Linked DNA regions of Caenorhabditis elegans. The protein of the gene in region 2 interacts with the protein of the main gene of each other region in a pairwise test. Each region holds a gene or a part of one and is shown on either strand. Other genes may lie near its edges. The genes, in order: nadk-1, nrfl-1, spl-1 and F52H2.5.

Region 1 (4,677 bases), 7.7 Mb from region 2:
AATTTCCCCCATTCTCACCCATTTCTCTAGTCGGACACAAAATTTTGTGGTCTCCCGTGCTCTATAGTTTTTGGTCATTGGTCACATCGTATGTTTCGAAATCATCGCCGCTGTTTTTGTTTTGAAAATTGATTTTCAACGAATTCTCTTTGGTTCTCCCAGCATAGAAAACGGTCATTTTTCTTTTTTTTTAATTGCCGAAGAAAAAAATATAATGGAATCAGTGGAGGCGCAGACTGTTAGAAAGCATTTGCACTGTTTATTGAACGGTTTGGCGCCCGTTACTCAGTGGAAGTGAGTGGTATCAAAAAATGCGTTCGGTTGCATTTATAGTTTTATGAGATGAATATTTTGTAATTTAACAATTTTGTGATAAATTTACTTTTCGACGAGGTATAGAGGTTTTAGCACAAGCTGAATCCCGCAGCCTTTTAAAATCAAATTCTCATAACGTATTTTTACTTTTAACTCCTTTTAACTCCTTCGAAGTAAAAGTTATTCAACAGTTGTTAACTTGAGCATGTAGTGTTTTTTTAAGGCGGCTATAACTCAGCGGAGGTTAATGCTATGAAAAAGATGAAAATTACAAAAATGTTCAGTTTTATGTGGTAAATAATCTTTTAATGAACAATTTTGCGACAAATCAACTATTCGACAAGATACGGAGGGTGCTAGCTTCAGCCATTGGCACCCTACTTCTCACCACTAAACCTTTATGCTCCTGTAACTCAGCGGAGGGTAGTTTTATGAAAAAGTTCACAATTACAAAAATGTTCAGTTTTATGTGGTAAATAATTTGTTAGTTAACAATTTTAGGATAAATTTATTCTCCGAGGAGATACAAGGGCAGAAATTTCAGTAGCTCTCTTCATCGGCTCCCTTGCCGCTTCACCACCAAACTTTAGGCGCCTGTAACTAAACGGAGGTTACTGTTATGAAAAAGTTGCAAATTACAAAAATGTACAGTTTTATGTGATAAATAAATTGCTAGTTTAACAGTTTTTTGATAAATCCACTTTCCAACAAATTACAACGATTTCTAGTCTTCGACACTACTGCTCACCCTTCACCACTGAACCTCCAGGCGTCTGTAACTCCGCGGAGGTGAACTCCATTAAAAAGTTGCCAACTACGAAAATACGCAACTTTTAAAGTTCTATATTTTATTAGTTGGCATATTTTTGATAACTCCTCTACTCGTAGAGATATCACAGCTTAAACTTATACTCCTTATACTCCAGCCGATCAAAACACCATTTTTTCCAAAAAATTCCATCATGGCGTCAAGTATCATTTCAACACCATTTATTTACTTTGTGTCAATTCTCAATTCTCAACTTTCAATTTCTCCTCAAAAATCAAACATTGCGAGCACATCTGAGCACGAGGGGAACAAACCACCACCTCCCACACAATTTCTATTGTTGTAGCCTACCGGAACGGTGGGCGGCGCCCAGACGTTCGGAAGGCGGAGCCCCGTTTATTTATAAATCGGGAAAAATTTTTGAAATTTTGAAATTTTGGAAATTTGAAAATAATGGTGCCATTTGTGTTGATTTTTTGGCGAATTCTCGAATGACTTTTCGTGTGTGATGAGGCGGCTGAAAAAAAAACTAACTGATAAGCTTTTCTATCATATTTTAACCTTTTCTCTCTCTCTTTTTTGATTCCATTAAATATCCATTTCCAATTTCTAATAATTTATAATTCCAGCCGTCCATCATGGCCGCTTTGGCAATTTCTCACTGCGTGAGCCACGTGGCGCGCCCAGTTTCTCCGGTAACACAAGGAAAACCGAGCGGAAGCAGACAGCAGCCGGTGAGCCAAATTTCGATTTTAAGCCTTGTTTTGGAGCAAATTTTTAGGCGATCCGGTTTGCGTTGATCCTTCGAAAGAGCACACGATGGCAATGGGAGAAGGAGCAGACGGGCTTGAGCGATGCTGATCTGAAAAAGTGAGTTTTACAACCAAAGCTGCTCGTCGATGCATCACGTTTTGCATCTCCACTTTGAAAGCTCATATCTTTGTTCATTTTTAAGATACTATAGGCACATAGCTAAAAATAATTTTATTAGTTGACAGTTTTCTTTTAAAACCAAATACAACGAGATAAAAACTGTGGAAGCTGGTTCTAGTCATTGCACCATGTCTCACGCCATTTCTAAAGCTTGTAACTTTGTTCATCTTTTAGATACTAAAAAATTGAAACTGCAATAATGTATGTCCATGTCTTCCTCCACATTCAGAGTCCATATCTTTGTTCATTTTATAGGTAGTAAAAAGTAAAAAATTTTTAACTACAAAACTGTAGAAAATCAAATATTTAAATATTTTGTCAGAAAGCAACTTTTCGATAAACCCAAAGCCAAATGAGATATAAGCTATCAAAGCTGGTTCCGGTCGATGCACCATGTCTCAAGCCACTTCTAAAGCTTGTAGCTTTGTTCATCTTTTAGGTACTCAAACAATTGTTATTACAAAATAGTAGAAAAACATATATTTCATATTTCGCCTGTGAGCAACTTTTTGATAACGCTAAAACAGACAGAGATATGAGCTACCAAAGAAGATAATTTTCGGTCGATGCACCATGTCTTAAAGTTCATATTCAATAGGTTGTTTCCTGAATTTAATTTTAATAACATTAACACTATATAAAATATGTATAAGGTGTCCGGTCGATGCACCATGTTTTGCTTCACCTATATCCTATCATACAGAAATTTGGAAAATTATATTTAGGCTAAAAACCGAAACTGTGTATTTTTCCCATGGTGTCTGCAATTGACAAAAGTCTACTGACCTCATTTGAATGTAAAAATGTCTATCAGGCTATATTCCCAGCTACTAAATCTTTTCAGGCACCTCTCCTCAAAAGGCACCAAGGTTCAAGAGCTCCTCGAAAACGAGAAGAAACAAGTAAACGCAGTGCAGGAAATTGTCTCCGAACTTGGCAAAGCAGGCATCTCCACAAAAGTTGTGACTCGCGAGCAGCTAGCCCAGTACCTGCCTGAAGCTGATCTGGTGATCTCTGCCGGTGGTGATGGAACCTTCTTGGCTGCAGCTTCCGTGGTCAACGACAACACCCCAATCATCGGTATCAACACTGACCCGATCGGAAGTGAAGGACACCTGTGTGTCGGTGGCAAGAATCCACCTCGCGATTTGATCGAGCGTCTGGTCTCTGGAAACTTGAAGTGGGTGCAGAGGACGAGGATACGGGTAACAGTAAAGGAATCCCGGAACTCGATTTTCTCATTGAAGAGGTCTGAAAAATCAACAAACCTCGCCCTGAACGAGGTGTTCATCGGAGAGGATGAAGCCGCCAAAGTCTCAACCTACAATATTTCCATCGACGATTCGCAGACAGTCAAGCAAAAGTCCTCCGGGTTGATTGTGTCGACTGGGACCGGATCGACGAGTTGGTACCTCGGAATGAACAGGATCGATGAGAATGCGACGACGTCAGTGTTGGAGGCACTGCAATCACTTGGCGTGGATGTGCCGATCACAAGGAATTTGGTGGAGAAGGTGGTGAATTCGGTGAATGAGAAGATCCCGTTCGAGCCAGATCATCCTAGTGAGTTTTTTGAAAGTTGATTGGAATTTGGGTTTGTTGAGTTGGAAACAAAATGTCAGGGGTATTTTTGATTACACAATTCCAAATATAAGACCCTGCACAGACATGGAAAAGGACTGAGAAAAGGACCCCATGGCTGGCCTCATCGTCAGGCTTCAGAAAACTCAAATTTGAGAATTTCTCATTATCTCACTTTCACTTTTAACTTTCCAGGTTTCGCCTTCTCAATCCGTGAGCCGATCTTCAACGCCACCTACAAACGCACGGCGACCCGCGGATTCGCCAGAAAGATCAAACTCGAATCCCGATGCACCAACGGATACCTGGTCCTTGACGGATCCACAAAGATCCCGTTCCCACGTGGCGCCGTCGCCACGATCGAGGTCAATCCGAATGATGCTTTGAAAACTGTGATTGTGTAACAATGATTTTGTGTGTATTGTTTTTATTGTACGGGTTTTCGGGTTGTCGTTTTTTTTGTGAATTATGAATTCGTAATTGTACATAGATTTTATACGATTTTATGTGATACATCAATTTGAAATTTGAAATTAAAAAAAAATAAATTCATTACTTTTTCATAACTGTATAAAATGGTCTCAAAAATGTGCTTCAAATGCACATTTTCTCAAAATTTCAGAGATCCATCGTTGCGAGATCCTTTGTCGTGGTGAGACCCCCCGTGGTGAGATCCCCGCAGTGCGATCTATCGTGGCGAGACCTATCGTAGCGGGACCCATCGAGGCCAGACCCTCCGTGGTGAGACCCATTGCAGTGAGACCCTTCGTGGTAAGACCCATTGTGGCGAGACTCCCTGTGCTGAGACCTCGTTCAGTGCTGATAATCTGATATGAAAAATCTGAAACCATACAAGCTGAAGTCATTTCGCAACCCCAGAAACTAAAAAAACCACAAAAACCATTTGAAATGCGACATTCTTTATTAAAAAGCTCTCTAATGAGTCTTGTAGATCTGCTCTGCCTGCGATGGCGCTGCCTCGACAGCCACCGATCTCGTTGGGCATGGACAGTAGGCAGCGTCTCCACCTGGCGCGGCATCCTCTCCCGGTGCTCCATCGGATCCATCGACTCCAGGAA
Region 2 (4,805 bases):
CCAATAATAAATTATTGAGTTTCAAAAATCTCTCAATACTAAAATGCTATGAAGGCTTTCACAGTTAGTCCATTTTCTCTGGTCAGCTCTGAAAATTGTAGAATATTTTAAAGTATTGGCATTGTCGGAGAAGAAACTGCAATTTTTGTTTCTATTTTACCAATTGTTTAAATATTTTCAGAGGAGGATTAATCACTGGTGACCGAATCTTTGCTGTCAATGGTCACTCGATTATTGGAGAAAATCACAAGAAGGTGGTTGAGCGCATAAAAGCAAATCCAAATCGATGTGAAATGCTTGTGATCTCTGAAGAAGGAGCTAAGTGGTACAATGAAAATAATGTTCAAATCACATTGGACCTTCCAAATATCGAACGAGTTTCTCCAATGGTTAGTCAAAATGTAGATTTTATCTTTACAAAATTAAAAAAAACAATTTTGTGTGACTTTTCTCATTCTCCTAACTTTATTTTAAATTCTAAAATTTTTAACATGTAAGATAAAAAAGTCTTCATTGTCGTGAAGAATGCAATATTCGTTTTTGACAGTAAAATTAGAAACATTTTCCATTTGTCTTATTTCCCTTTGTTGCGCCTAAAATCCCTTATGTTACCAATTGTCAGAGGAACTCCTGTCATCCGTCCAACAATTCTCCCCCGCCAAGTTCGTGGTACGCACCCACGTCATATTCACAGGTCAGTCTTTTTGCCTTTTCACATAATTTTCTCCTTTCTCCACTTTGTTTATTCCTCATTGTTATTTTGTAATTTTCAAACAGTATCGAATATCAAATAGTATAGCTGTAGTTGCTCATTGAGCATCATTTGTTTATTTGACACCTCTAGTTGCACTTGATCAACCGAACTTCGTATATCTACTGAGTCACACTGAACCATTTTTATGCGTCATTTTCATATGTTCTCACACTAAAAAAGGATTGACAAATATTTCGAGGTAGATAGACAGGGAGTCGATAGACAAGAAATGACGTCATTTTAGATGAAAGTTATAGGAACAATGAAAATTAAAAATTGGTAATTGAACCTGGGGAAATTGGAATTAACATTATTAATGGCTATGCAATTTTAGAACTGAAATTTTTAAAAAGTTATACAATATCCGATCTCAAATGAAGAAATGGAAATAAAAATTCTTGCAAAAAAATTGAATAATTTTTTTCTGTTTCATAAATAGTTAAAAGACTTATTCATAAATTTCAAAAATTCGGGAATTGCCTTTTCCGCACAAAAAATGTTTCCTCATTAAGGAAAACCCGTGGTTGGTTTGGAGACTATCTTGAAATTGTAATGCACATATTCTGTCATTCGATGATGCTTTATATAGTTTAGGCGATTGAAATCTGATTAAAACTTTTCTTTAGAACTCCATAAAAATATTTGATTTATTGCAAAAGTTTTGTAAACTTTTCTAAGTTCCTTGTAATATCTAAGTATTGCTAAGACATCATTTCTAGTCATCCACTTGTACTTTCTCTCCTCCAATTTTTGATTTACAATCTGATTCTCCATGCACTCCAAGACGTTCTCAACCATTATTCTTCAAACGGAACAACTTTTCGATGATTCTCGAATCGATGAAGAAACGGACGACACAATAGCGTTGGTTTTGTGTGTGTGTGCCTGTTTTGTATGTTAATATTCAATAAAAATATGAAGAAGATGGAAAAAGACGGGGCAAAGAATTTATGGGCCAAACCATACATATTCTATGCATTGAGGCACGAAGAGGGACAAAAAAGTTATATATCTTGACAAACAAAGGAATACCAAAAAGGCACTTTTGTTTGATTCACATTCCTTGGCTCTTCGGCACATCACTACAGTATTCTCAACTCTTATTCTCAGCTAAGAAATTTCAATTCTAAATCTGCATATTGCCTTCTTCAAACATGGATCGCAATCCATCTGAACCAGAAAGAATAGATTGGAAAAACCCAATCACGTGGATTTCGTATCTCTACACCTCTTTCGTGTACTATTTGTGGTTGATCTCCTCGCATCTACCACATCTCCCACAACCACAACGGATTACCGATGACAAATCAACGGAGCAGATCACCAGAGACGCAGGTATTCCGCGCACTGAGATAGTAACACGAGGAGATGCTACGCAGACAGTTAGACAAGTAGCGGGTCTAGGGGACCCAGCGCCAAAGGATTCATCATTATTGCCTCCCTCTTCGTCGTTCGTCTATTGCAACAACTGTCTAACACCTCATTCGTCTCAGAGGACTTGTTCTCCAGCCTACGTCTCTACTCTCTCAAGACAAAAGTCTTTGACGTTGCTAAAGAAATTGAAGAAACCCTCATCATCTGCTTCTTCCACCACTACCACCACATCATCGACTGTATCTTTCCGTGCACCTTCACGTGCATCATCAACGATCTCCGACGCTTCTACCATCCGCCCATCTGAACTCATTGCTATCGTTCCATCTGGTAGCCACGTGTTGCTGCGAGTTCCGAAACTTGATTGGAAAACTGAATCAATTCGAATCAAAAGAACTAGAATGAGTGATTGGATGGATGCGGAGCAACGGGATGTGATGAGACAATTTGATGAAGTTATAAGATCAGAAGAAGAAGACGAGAGGACCTCACGAAAAAGGAACGGAATCTTCAAAGATGGATCTGTAAGGAGTATTGAATCATTGGAATCTAGGAGTCGGGTGAGCACACGTTGTGATTTTGAAATATCGACTCAAAAATAAAACTTCTTTCTAACAATTATAAATTTAAAAGTTAGAGAATTATCTATTAGTATTGCACCCCCTTACTGTAGGCAGCTCATAACTGATTTTTCATTGATTTTATTATAATTTGACAACTTTCTACTTATAATCTATTTTACTATAATTTTTTAGTTAATAATTTTGTTGATGTCAGCAACTGTCTTTAAAATGAACCGATAGCTCCAAAGAAACGATGGAAAATTATATTTTACGGACCAAAGTTGATCCAAATTTTTTGCTGACAATTGTTCCTGTTTATTCAAAATTTAAAAATTTAAATTACACATTTTTTGGTTTGGGCTATAATTCATCATAAAACCATACTTCTTTAAAACGTGAAATCTCAACTTGTTTTACAGCATTTCAGATAAAATGCACACCGTAGAATTAATTGAAATGGTATTTCAACTGGTTTCTTTTCTTTGTTTTTCATCTTTCCCATACTGGTACGCGTGCCTATCCTTACCCAAATTCTTCAAAAACAATTTGATAAGGATTTCAGTATTTTTTCTTTAAATTGATTAGAGACCAACTTCGCCAAACTATCAATTGGGTACTATGTTTTATAAACTATTCCAACATTTGTTGAGGTATTCGTCATCCTCTTCAACTTTTTTCTTCAATATTTCCATTTTCTCCAAAAAGAATTTCATTTTCATATAAATACGAGTATCATTTCCTCTTCTTCATATTTCTGACTCATCTTTCCTCCATCTTCTCTTGCATACATTTCCAAAAATTTTGCCAACTTGCCAAGTAAACCGCAAACATACGAGAAAACTGTTAAAACTGTGTCTGCACTCTACGCACTCTCTCATTCAGCCTCTTGAAGCTTATGTATGTTTTGTTAAATGTGTGTTGTGGCATTGGCAAGAAAGGAGAGAGAAGGTAGATCATTTTTTATTGAGAAGAAAATGACAATGAAGAAGACAAGTAATAAAAAAATATGTTTAGTGCGAGAGAAACAGAACAAAATGATGATTTATGATCAAAATTGAGACATTAGAAAGTTGGAAGAGGAACTGTAAATTAAATGAGAAAATGGGATACAGAGATATGATAGCAGATAGATTTATGAGGTATTGATACGGAAAATAACATAAATATTGGAAGACTGGCGGACTGGAAATTTGCACAGTTCAATGTTAGGAAGATTGAAATGAGTGTAGAAAAACAACTCAAAGAGGAGTGTAAATTAATCAATAAATAGGTTATTATTTTTGACAATTAACACTTCAATAAATTGTGACATAATTAAAAATATGATGAAACAGAAATAGTTTTGGAAGACTAACGAGTTACCAGCATTCCAGTGTTTAACAGTATATTACAACTCGATGAAACATTCGAAAATTCTAAAATGGAAAATCGATTAAAATTTTTTACTCCTTTAAGAAATCTTGTTCGTAAGCCATATTCTCAGAGAGAACCAAATTCAAAAAAGTTGTCTGACTACAGTAATCCGCAACAATTCCACTTACCTATCATTCGTTACAAATCTTCCTCTTCGTTTCTTTGTCCTTTAATAAATGACCTTCATTTGAATATATCTAATTGGTCCTCCATTAGACACCTTCTTCCAATTGTTTTTTATCCTCCACCTGCCATGTCTTTATTTCAATCTGTCTGTGTCTCGTGCTCTCTCTCTCATTCAATAGAAAGATAGTTAACGAAGCATGACGCATTGGAATATCTTGCTTCACTAAAAGATTGCAACATTCCAATTCTATTAATTTTTACAAAAAACCAACAATCTTCTCCCATTCTTGTCATTTGTCATGTTTAGACACTTTCTCAAGTATTTTACTAATTTTCTTCAAAAAGTACACATTCATCAAACGTTGTATGTTCAATATTCTTTTCCTTCAAACAAACTTTGAATCTCATAAAATGTTTTGTGGTTTCGGAACATGTTAGAAATACAAATAACTTGTCGGAAAACTTTCACAAAACTTGAATTTTATTTCTTGGCATTTCCCAACATTGAAACGCATCTTGTAATCCGATATTTTTGGGACTTGTTTTTTATATTCACTTTTATTCGAAAGAATATC
Region 3 (5,546 bases), 8.7 Mb from region 2:
TTCTATTGTCATTGGGTCGATGGAACTCCGGAATATCGGTTTGTATTGAATTTTAGAGAAAAATTATTTTAAAATAGCTATTTTTTGTAGTTTGCCCGAGAGATATGTACAGAATAAGAACAGAATCCTTGCAAAGTTTCTACTTCACGAAAACTGAGTTGAAGTCTATGATGAGGGACTTGCGAAGTATTACTTCTGGAATAAAACAACAGATGAGGTGAGTAGCAGAATAATTTCCAGATTTAAAAAAAAATTTTTTCAGGTTTGTTGGTATTCTCCGCGTCATCCACGAGCTATAATTAGTGATCCAGCTCCTCGAATCGCCAGAGAGCATGCTACAGTGCTTTTCGGAGATTCTCACGCATCTGAGGTAGAATTAGATGCTGAAATCGTACTTAAAGGCACACAGATTTATCAGATTTACTCGGATGGGTCTAACCGCCGGAAAAGTTGTTCCCATCCAAAAGGATCCGAGCGCCTTTAAATACTCATTTCGGAACATTTATTCTTTAAAACTATATATTTTTTTTCCAGGAGAACAATGCCGCTCGCCGCAGAAATTTCCACAACAAGAAAACTTCACGCGGAGGGAATGATGATAAGCAATCACGTGGCAATAATGCTGAAAAGCGGAAGCGACGTGATCCGATGACGTCACAGGGTCCAGATTCAGATGAAGACGAGTTACAGGAAATGACAAATAAGGATCGACTGAAAAGAGCAAAAAGGAAAGGAATTGATCCAATGGATCCAGGAGCTCATGGAGGCGCTCCAGTGTAAGCTGCGCTCCGTTTCTGAAGCGAAAAAGTTGGAATTTTCGAGAATTGGATTCAAAAATTGAAAATTTTCTAATTTCGCCAACTTTTCCGTGTTGCAGCGGTCTAATTTTAGATAAATTTATAGTTTTTCTTCAGAAAATTATAATTTTTCATCTGAATTTTCGGAAATAGCTTCAAAAAAACGCAAACCACGTTTTTTACGCAAAATCGAATAATATTCGAGCAACAAAATCTGATTTTCTACCCTATTTCAGTGAAAAATGGTCGGATGGCCTTCGCGTTGATCACGTAACAGGAGCCGACGTGACTGCTGGTGGACCACTTTTCCAACAAAGACCCTATCCTGCTCCGGGAGCAATTCTCAGAAAACATAAACCACAGGATGAAGAGGATGATCAACAATTCAATTTTTTAAAATCATTTTAATGCAAAATTTCTACTCCACTTCCTTCCAAAAGTTCTGCCATGTCCTATTATTTATTTGTTCTGTTTTGTACCCCTGTACCTGTACCTTTTTCTATGTTTCTATGCACATTCATGTGCACAAACATTTGTAATTTTCTCTGTGTCTCTCCAAGAAATTCCCATAAATTCATCCATGATTTTTCGTTTCTTTTCGATTTTTGTGATAATGACCACGTATCATATTCTTATCAGTATACTTTACCGTTTTGTTTCTGAAAAAAGTTTTTTTTCGTGAAGTTGGTTTCATTTCCAAATTTTGATGTTTGTGTGCCACGACTAATTTCAATTGAAAAGGAGTGTGCGCCTTTAAGTGGCACAGTAGTTTCTCGTGGTTTGGTAATTTTTCTTCACACTTTGTTTTTGAAGGGTATGTATAAATAAGAAAATATTAGTTCGCGATATATCGAAACTACAGCACTCCTTAAAGGCGCACACTTGGTTTCATTTGAAAAATACCACAATAAATTAATTTTCAGGTTACAATGGATTCGGTTAAGCACACAACCGAAATTATTGTCGACTTGACAAAAATGCACTATCACATGATAAATGATAGGTGAATTTTAAACAAAAATTAGATATTTGGAAATTACTAATTCAAGATTTTCAGACTTTCTCGGTATGATCCGGTTGTTCTAGTGTTGGCCGCTTTTGGGGGTACCCTTGTCTATACAAAAGTCGTCCATTTGTACCGAAAAAGCGAGGATCCAATTTTGAAACGGCAAGTGTTTTCTTGCGAATTTTAGAAATATCAAAATGAAATTTTCAGCATGGGAGCTTATGTATTCTCACTTCTTCGAAAACTTCCAGCTGTTCGGGATAAAATCGAAAAAGAGCTGGCTGCTGAGAAGCCAAAGCTTATTGAATCGATTCATAAGGATGATAAGGACAAGCAATTCATTTCCAGTTTGTTTGAACATTTATTAATTAACCAATTCATTAATTCTATTTTTCAGCTCTTCCCATCGCTCCATTATCTCAGGACTCAATTATGGAACTGGCGAAAAAATATGAGGATTACAACACATTTAACATTGACGGAGGACGAGTATCTGGAGCGGTTTATACTGATCGTCATGCTGAACACATTAATTTGCTTGGAAAGGTTTAGAAATTCTAGAATTTTTCAAAATCTTAGCTCTCAAATATATTCTCTTGTAAATAGCTACATAGTATATCCTGTAGGGAAGCTTTGAATCCAATTCAGATCAGGGGCGACAAACGATTTTTTCCGGCAAATCGGCAAATCGCCGGAATGGAAATTTCCTGCAAATCGGCAAATTGCCGGAATGGAAATTTCCTGCAAGTTGGCAAATTGACGGAATTGAAATTTCCGGCAAACCGACAAATTTCCGTAATTAAAATTTCCTGCAAACCGGCGAATTGGCGGAATTGAAATTTCCTGCAAACCGGCAAATTGCCGTAATTGAAATTTCCTGCAAACCGGCAAATTGCCGGAATTGAAATTTCCGGCAAACCGGCAAATCGGCTGAATTGAAATTTCCTGCAAACCGGCAAATTGCGGTAATTGAAATTTCCTGCAAACCGGTCAGTTGCCGATTTGCCTTTGCCTGAAAAACGGCGATTGCCAGAAATATTCGGCAAATTGTGGTTTTGCACATTTTTCTGGAAATTTCAGGCAAAATTGTACGCATCCTATGAATATCCCTATTAACATCTTTTTTGAAAAGTCAGTAAATTATATGAAAATATCTAAAGAAAACGGGGAAAATATTTCAAAGAGGCACAGTTTTATGTGTTTCCGTCATCTAAATAGTCCCTCTAAACATTTCCGGCAAATCTGATATCCGGCAAACGGCAAATCGGGATATTGCCGGAATTTAAAATTTGCCGAACTTGTCGACAAAAAAAATGCGCCTTGAATCCGATTCAGATATTCAAAAATTGAATTTTGGACGTTTTAGAAATCATTTAGTTTGTCAATTTTCAAGAAATTTCTAGAAAATTGGATGGTTTCCGCCAAGAAATATTAGCTACATGAAAATAATTTTGAAACTAGACATTTCTTAAAATAAAAATTGCCATCTTTTATATCCAGATTTACGAAAAGTATGCGTTCTCGAATCCCCTCCACCCTGACGTCTTTCCGGGAGCTCGTAAAATGGAGGCAGAACTTATTCGAATGGTTCTGAACCTGTATAATGGACCAGAAGATTCTAGTGGAAGTGTAACTTCTGGTGGTACTGAAAGTATTATTATGGCATGCTTTTCGTATCGGTAAGCATTTATTCAACTCTTAAAATTCAATTTTGCAAACTCTACAGAAATCGTGCACACTCTCTTGGCATTGAACATCCAGTTATTTTGGCATGTAAAACAGCTCACGCGGCATTTGATAAGGCCGCCCATCTATGCGGAATGCGTCTTCGCCACGTTCCAGTTGATTCGGATAATCGTGTCGATTTAAAAGAAATGGAGAGACTAATTGATTCGAATGTTTGTATGTTGGTTGGCTCAGCGCCTAACTTCCCATCAGGCACAATTGATCCAATTCCGGAAATTGCTAAGGTACTGGAAATTCCCGCCTCAATATCGCGGAAAAAATAGAGAAATGACTGAACAAAATTACATTGTGAGCGGGAACTCTAATTGAATTCAGCAAAAATACGATACTTTTTTCTAACTTAAAATAATTTTTAAAAAAACTCACAGATGCTAGTCCAAAAAATGGCCTTTTTTGATTACTTAATCGAACGTTTACACTTTCAGCTCGGCAAAAAGTATGGAATCCCGGTCCACGTGGACGCATGTCTTGGTGGATTCATGATTCCATTTATGAATGACGCCGGATACCTGATTCCTGTATTCGATTTCAGAAATCCCGGTGTTACATCTATTTCGTGTGATACTCATAAGGTTGGATACAGTTCTATCCATTTTTTTCCTTCAATTCAAAATCTTTCAGTACGGATGCACACCGAAAGGTTCATCGATTGTCATGTATCGTTCCAAGGAACTTCATCACTTCCAGTATTTCTCGGTTGCCGATTGGTGTGGAGGCATCTATGCCACCCCGACTATTGCAGGTTTGAAGAATGTTTTAGTAGCTTCAATAGAATCAAAGAGATCCCTTAGGATCCCGAGCTGGAGCCAACACTGCCGTCGCCTGGGCCACACTTTTATCCTTCGGTCGAGACGAATATGTTCGAAGATGTGCTCAAATTGTGAAGCATACACGAATGCTGGCCGAGAAAATTGAGAAAATCAAATGGATCAAGCCTTATGGAAAATCGGATGTTTCATTGGTGGCGTTCTCCGGAAATGGTGTGAATATCTACGAAGTTTCTGACAAAATGATGAAGCTCGGATGGAATTTGAACACTCTGCAGAATCCAGCGGCGTATGTTTATCAATTTTATGAGTTATCAGCTTGCTAAATTTTTTGTTTCAGAATCCACATTTGTTTGACAATCAATCAAGCGAACGAGGAAGTTGTGAATGCGTTCGCCGTCGACCTTGAGAAGATTTGTGAAGAACTCGCTGCAAAAGGTGAACAAAAAGCTGACAGTGGAATGGCTGCGATGTATGGAATGGCTGCGCAAGTACCAAAATCAGTAGTGGACGAGGTTATCGCTCTGTACATTGACGCAACTTATTCAGCTCCACCTTCAACTTCTAATTAATTACTTTTTCCATTGAATTTTCTCTATTTGCACCAATATATCTGTGATTTTTTTTGTAGTAAATAAATATATACTATTCTGTGATTTTTTTCTGTAGTAAATAAATATATATACCAATTATAACGAATTAATTGTCAAGATCTAGCTGAAAAACGGATAAAAACCGAATGTTTTCTCAAATTAAAATTAAAACTCTAATTAAAGGCGCGTCACTTTACTTGAAAGGGTCTCGCCACGATACGCCAATTGGTGGCGGCAGTTTGAATATTCTTGTTTATTTACATCTTTTTGAGTTCTCATTTTTTGGGATTTCTTTGTTTTTGAACAGAATTTTTCGTTTTTTCGATTGAAATTGCATTTTTCTGTGTAAAAAAAAATGTTTTCATTTAATTGAGTCAAAAAATACAGAAATTCAGTTGTAAGTCTGCTATTCGGAGGTTGTGGGGTAATTTCTCCCCTGATTTGAGTAATTAGTTGAAGAAGCTTGGAATTTCGTGATTTTCAGACGGAAAATCATAGAGGTTCACCATTTTTGAACAGGAATGATCAAAATTTCCGTACAAAATTGGCAGAAATATCGAAACCTTTGACAATTTTATTCTATTTTTATGAGTTTCGTTGTTTCTCTGTATTTAAAAGGAATTTATATTGAAAATGA
Region 4 (3,686 bases), on a different chromosome or scaffold from region 2:
AAAAGTTTGAAAAGTATTCATTTAAAAAAATGTTTTTTGTTTATCGTCAAAAAAAGTTGTTTAGTTTTTTAAACGAATGTTTTCAAAGTGGCTAGGTTAATTTGAGAAACTTTTTGAAACTATCGTCAAATGAAAGATTATAGTGATTGACATAAATTTCCGCAATTTCAAAAAAAAATCTATATGCAATAAGACGCATTCTCACCCCAAATATTTTCAAACTTTCACAATAAATTTCAGATTTTCTGATGGCCCAGACACTCACGATGAAGTCGTCAACCCAATTGGAAGGTGGTACAAAAAATGGTTCTACACTCACGTTGAAGATTTGATCAATAAAAAGCACGAATCCATTGAGTACATTCCACTCCGTGACTACTACCATCGTCACTCAAAGAGCATTTTCTGGGAGCTCAGAGACATCGTCCCATTCGGAAACAATGTCCTGTTTCGTTACTTGATGGCTTGGATGTGCCCCCCAAAGATTGCATTTTTAAAGGCAACAACTCCAAACGTTTTAAGAAAGCTGTACGATCGTAGTCATGTTTTGCAAGATATGCTTGTACCACTGGATAAGTTGGAAGAGTGCATCGATCTTTTTCACAAAGAAGTCGAAGTACGTTTTTCAGATTTTCCATATTTTCTAGCATTGTTTCCAGATCTATCCAATGTGGTTGTGCCCATTCTACTTGAAATCCCAACCAGGTCTCATGAAATTGAGAAATGCTACTCACAAGATGTACGTGGATGTTGGAGCGTATGGAGTAACATCCAAGGATGGTTATCATCACGAGAGAACAACACGGCGACTGGAATCGTTTGTTCGATCAGTCAATGGGTAAAATTTGCCTATAAATTATCACTTTAATAATTTATCGTTCAGATTCCAAATGACATATGCCGACATTTACATGACACGAGCTGAGTACGCTGAAATGTTTGACAGAACACTCTATGATTGGAAAAGAGCATCTTGCAAATGTATCGATGCGTTCCCAGATATTTACGATAAAATTTGCAGAAGTGGAAGGCGTTAAAATTTTTTATTTAAAGGTGGACTATGCGAGAAATGATTAAAAATTAATCCTATGATGTTAAAATGACCAAATATCATTTTTAAAAAAGTTTAAAAGGTTTCACGTTTTGATAAGACATGAAAAATTTTCCAAAACTTTTATTCTGCTATTTGGTGATTTTTGCACAATATCAATGAGGCTTAATCACTTCTACATTGTTCGCAGTTCACTTTTTTGAATTGATAGTCATTGCTCGATTGTTTTTCTCATCTCAATTACTTCATTGTACTGCTTAAATTTTATCATTTTACAGGCTCAATTTTCAGAAACGGCGTACAATTTTTGTTGGTCTTCATTTTCATAAGTTTACAAATCAATTAATTTAACTAAATACATTACCATGCAGAATAAATTTAAAAACAAATTTTTTTAAAAGTTTTTTTTTGAACTGTTATTTCACTTTTTTTCCCCATTTTGTTTTATAACTGCGTGTCTGCACACAATCGGGACCTCCACCCTCTCTGCCGACGCGCAAGTGTTACTGACCCACATTTAGTTTTCTTGGCGCGTTTCTTGTTTTGAATGTTGAACAGTGTTCGAGTACCTCTGTTTTTTCGTTTCAACCTCATTTGTGAGTTACTTTTTATTTCAATTTAGTTAAATAATTAATATCTACTTTGTTTTCGCAGAGTTGTCAATTCAGAAAATTTCAGACACTTCTACGGGTTGAAAAAATGTCGGACGGGTTAATTGACAAACCAAAACTTTTTGTTCAAGGAATGTTCGTGACAAGTACCTCTGGAGAAACTGCTGATGAGACAACAATGTCGAAAATTGACAATATCAGTGAGTTATTTTACAAATGTATTTTTTTCTGTTAAGACTAATTTTTACAGTTACGTATGGTCTCCAGGCAATCGAACATTTCCTAGAAAAAAACGATGGGCAGACTGAGCACTCAAAGTTAGAATACAAACGTGTTGTAGCTGACAAAGAAGTTGAGTACGTTATTATTAGAATTTGGATGAAACTGTTAAGAATTCATTTTTCAGGTGCAATCCAGATGGTGTGAAAATTGTGATTTTCGTGGAAGACATCGAGGTTCCCGCCAAACTGACTGCATTCGCCAATGGTAATCGAGCTGAGATCCACATTCCGAAGAGCAAAATTGACGAACTTTCCGAAGAGACAAATATCGATAAGCTACCAGCTAACGAAAAAGCAGCGTTTGAAATGCTTCTTAATCATTTTCTTCATGAGATGATGCATATGGTGAGTTTTTTCAAATCTTACTATTCTGATCATTTGGTTTAAATGAAAACTTTCCCAGTTTGGAGCTTTCCATTCTGATGTTGGAATCATGTCCGGAGTCATCCAGTTGTTCAATGAAGAAAATCGTATTGACTTGGCCATTTTGTTAGATGATCACTCTGCTCGAATTGTTTCTGAAACCCTTATTGGTCAAGTGCTCCCAGATCCACCAGTTGCAACATTTGTGTATGATGAGAAAGACAGATCGCTGAAATTCGAAAGCAGTGCAGGATTCCACACAGTCATGTTTCTGAACAAGTGAGTTTTTAGTGAAACTTTTCGAAAAATATTGGATTTTTTCAAAAAGTGGCAATTATTGAGTTTTTGCCACTTTTTGAAAAAACTAGAGCACTATCGTATGTTCGATTCCCTGATAATTTTTGAAACACACGTAAGTAGATAATAAAAACGGTATTTTTTTCAAATCGACGGCTTTAAAAAAGTGGAAAACGGAGTTTTTTCCGAATTTCAAAAACTCATATAAAATTTATCACTTTTTTTGAATTTTTAAGTATGAGATTTAGGTCATTATAGGCATTTTTAAAGGCAATTTTCGCTACTCCACCTTCAAAATATTTTTGCTCATTTTCAATAAATTTAAATTTCAGCTCCTACTACACAAATCGATTCTACTATTCCGTTGATATGAATTTTGAATGCATTGTTCCAAAAGATTCGGATTGGGATTCGCTTCTTGTTCAATTTGTCTATGGAGCATCGTTATTCTACAAAAAATCGTCCATTTACAACAATTGTGACTATGACCGCATTCGTCGCCGCTGAGCCAAAAACTACGTTTTAATTTATTTTTCACATGTAAAAACATAATTTTAGACACATAAACCATTTTAACAATTTCCAACTAATTAACCAGGGGTCTGAAAAAAAGAGGCGTTGAGCACCCGCATCTGGAGCAAGTAAAACGTTCCAGAACAATCTAACTTAGATTTTAAACTAAAAATTAGGTTCTAAACATATTCTACTGTTTGTGAAAACCTGTAACTCCGTGGAAAAAAATCTAACAATAAGTAAAAACCTTGTAAATTGCAATTCAACAACTTTCAGGAAAACCGATTATTAGCCAGAATATGTAGAAGTGTTTGAAGTGAGAATATATTTATTATGCCAAAATAATTATGGTTTTTCGCATTTCTACTTGTACGAATTGTCATTGTATTCTTTTATATCGGCGGCAAAATACTGTAAAATTGGGGGGAGGGGGGGGGGGGAAATAATATAGTTGAGATCAGTTTTTCTCGAACTTTAGTAAATAAAAGAAAACAACGAAAACTAAATTGGTGGTAACTGGGGATTGTGAGCGCCGAGAACTGAGAGCTACAAGTTTTTATGACACTATTC

What was found.
Region 1: the proteins of nrfl-1 (region 2) and nadk-1 interact in a two-hybrid assay, tested with the Caenorhabditis elegans proteins (one large-scale study listed by BioGRID).
Region 3: the proteins of nrfl-1 (region 2) and spl-1 interact in a two-hybrid assay, tested with the Caenorhabditis elegans proteins (one large-scale study listed by BioGRID).
Region 4: the proteins of nrfl-1 (region 2) and F52H2.5 interact in a two-hybrid assay, tested with the Caenorhabditis elegans proteins (one large-scale study listed by BioGRID).

Annotation. Positions count from the first base shown.
Region 1 is NC_003282.8:1,455,362-1,460,038, forward strand, and holds nadk-1 (NAD(+) kinase), read left to right. Parts: upstream 1-1,713; 5' UTR 1,714-1,722; coding exon 1,723-1,818; intron 1,819-1,865; coding exon 1,866-1,954; intron 1,955-2,861; coding exon 2,862-3,580; intron 3,581-3,793; coding exon 3,794-4,002; 3' UTR 4,003-4,160; downstream 4,161-4,677. Other genes in the region: col-106 (Nematode cuticle collagen N-terminal domain-containing protein), read right to left, coding at 4,535-4,677.
Region 2 is NC_003282.8:9,119,573-9,124,377, forward strand, and holds the start of nrfl-1 (Na(+)/H(+) exchange regulatory cofactor-like protein nrfl-1), read left to right. Parts: upstream 1-1,799; 5' UTR 1,800-1,908; coding exon 1,909-2,688; intron 2,689-3,705; exon of another isoform or gene 3,706-4,106; intron 4,107-4,232; exon of another isoform or gene 4,233-4,304; intron 4,305-4,805. UniProt on the Caenorhabditis elegans protein: Scaffold protein that connects plasma membrane proteins with members of the ezrin/moesin/radixin family and thereby helps to link them to the actin cytoskeleton and to regulate their surface expression.
Region 3 is NC_003282.8:379,360-384,905, reverse strand, and holds spl-1 (Sphingosine-1-phosphate lyase), read left to right. Parts: upstream 1-1,720; 5' UTR 1,721-1,726; coding exon 1,727-1,800; intron 1,801-1,854; coding exon 1,855-1,965; intron 1,966-2,013; coding exon 2,014-2,150; intron 2,151-2,200; coding exon 2,201-2,349; intron 2,350-3,303; coding exon 3,304-3,482; intron 3,483-3,529; coding exon 3,530-3,773; intron 3,774-3,974; coding exon 3,975-4,121; intron 4,122-4,170; coding exon 4,171-4,291; intron 4,292-4,340; coding exon 4,341-4,605; intron 4,606-4,656; coding exon 4,657-4,888; 3' UTR 4,889-5,021; downstream 5,022-5,546.
Region 4 is NC_003284.9:2,557,470-2,561,155, reverse strand, and holds F52H2.5 (Peptidase_M10 domain-containing protein), read left to right. Parts: upstream 1-1,610; 5' UTR 1,611-1,647; intron 1,648-1,729; 5' UTR 1,730-1,750; coding exon 1,751-1,862; intron 1,863-1,912; coding exon 1,913-2,018; intron 2,019-2,068; coding exon 2,069-2,288; intron 2,289-2,346; coding exon 2,347-2,585; intron 2,586-2,935; coding exon 2,936-3,110; 3' UTR 3,111-3,180; downstream 3,181-3,686. Other genes in the region: Delta(24)-sterol reductase homolog dhcr-24, read left to right, coding at 241-616, 660-838, 884-1,037; aat-3 (Large neutral amino acids transporter small subunit 1), read right to left, coding at 3,681-3,686.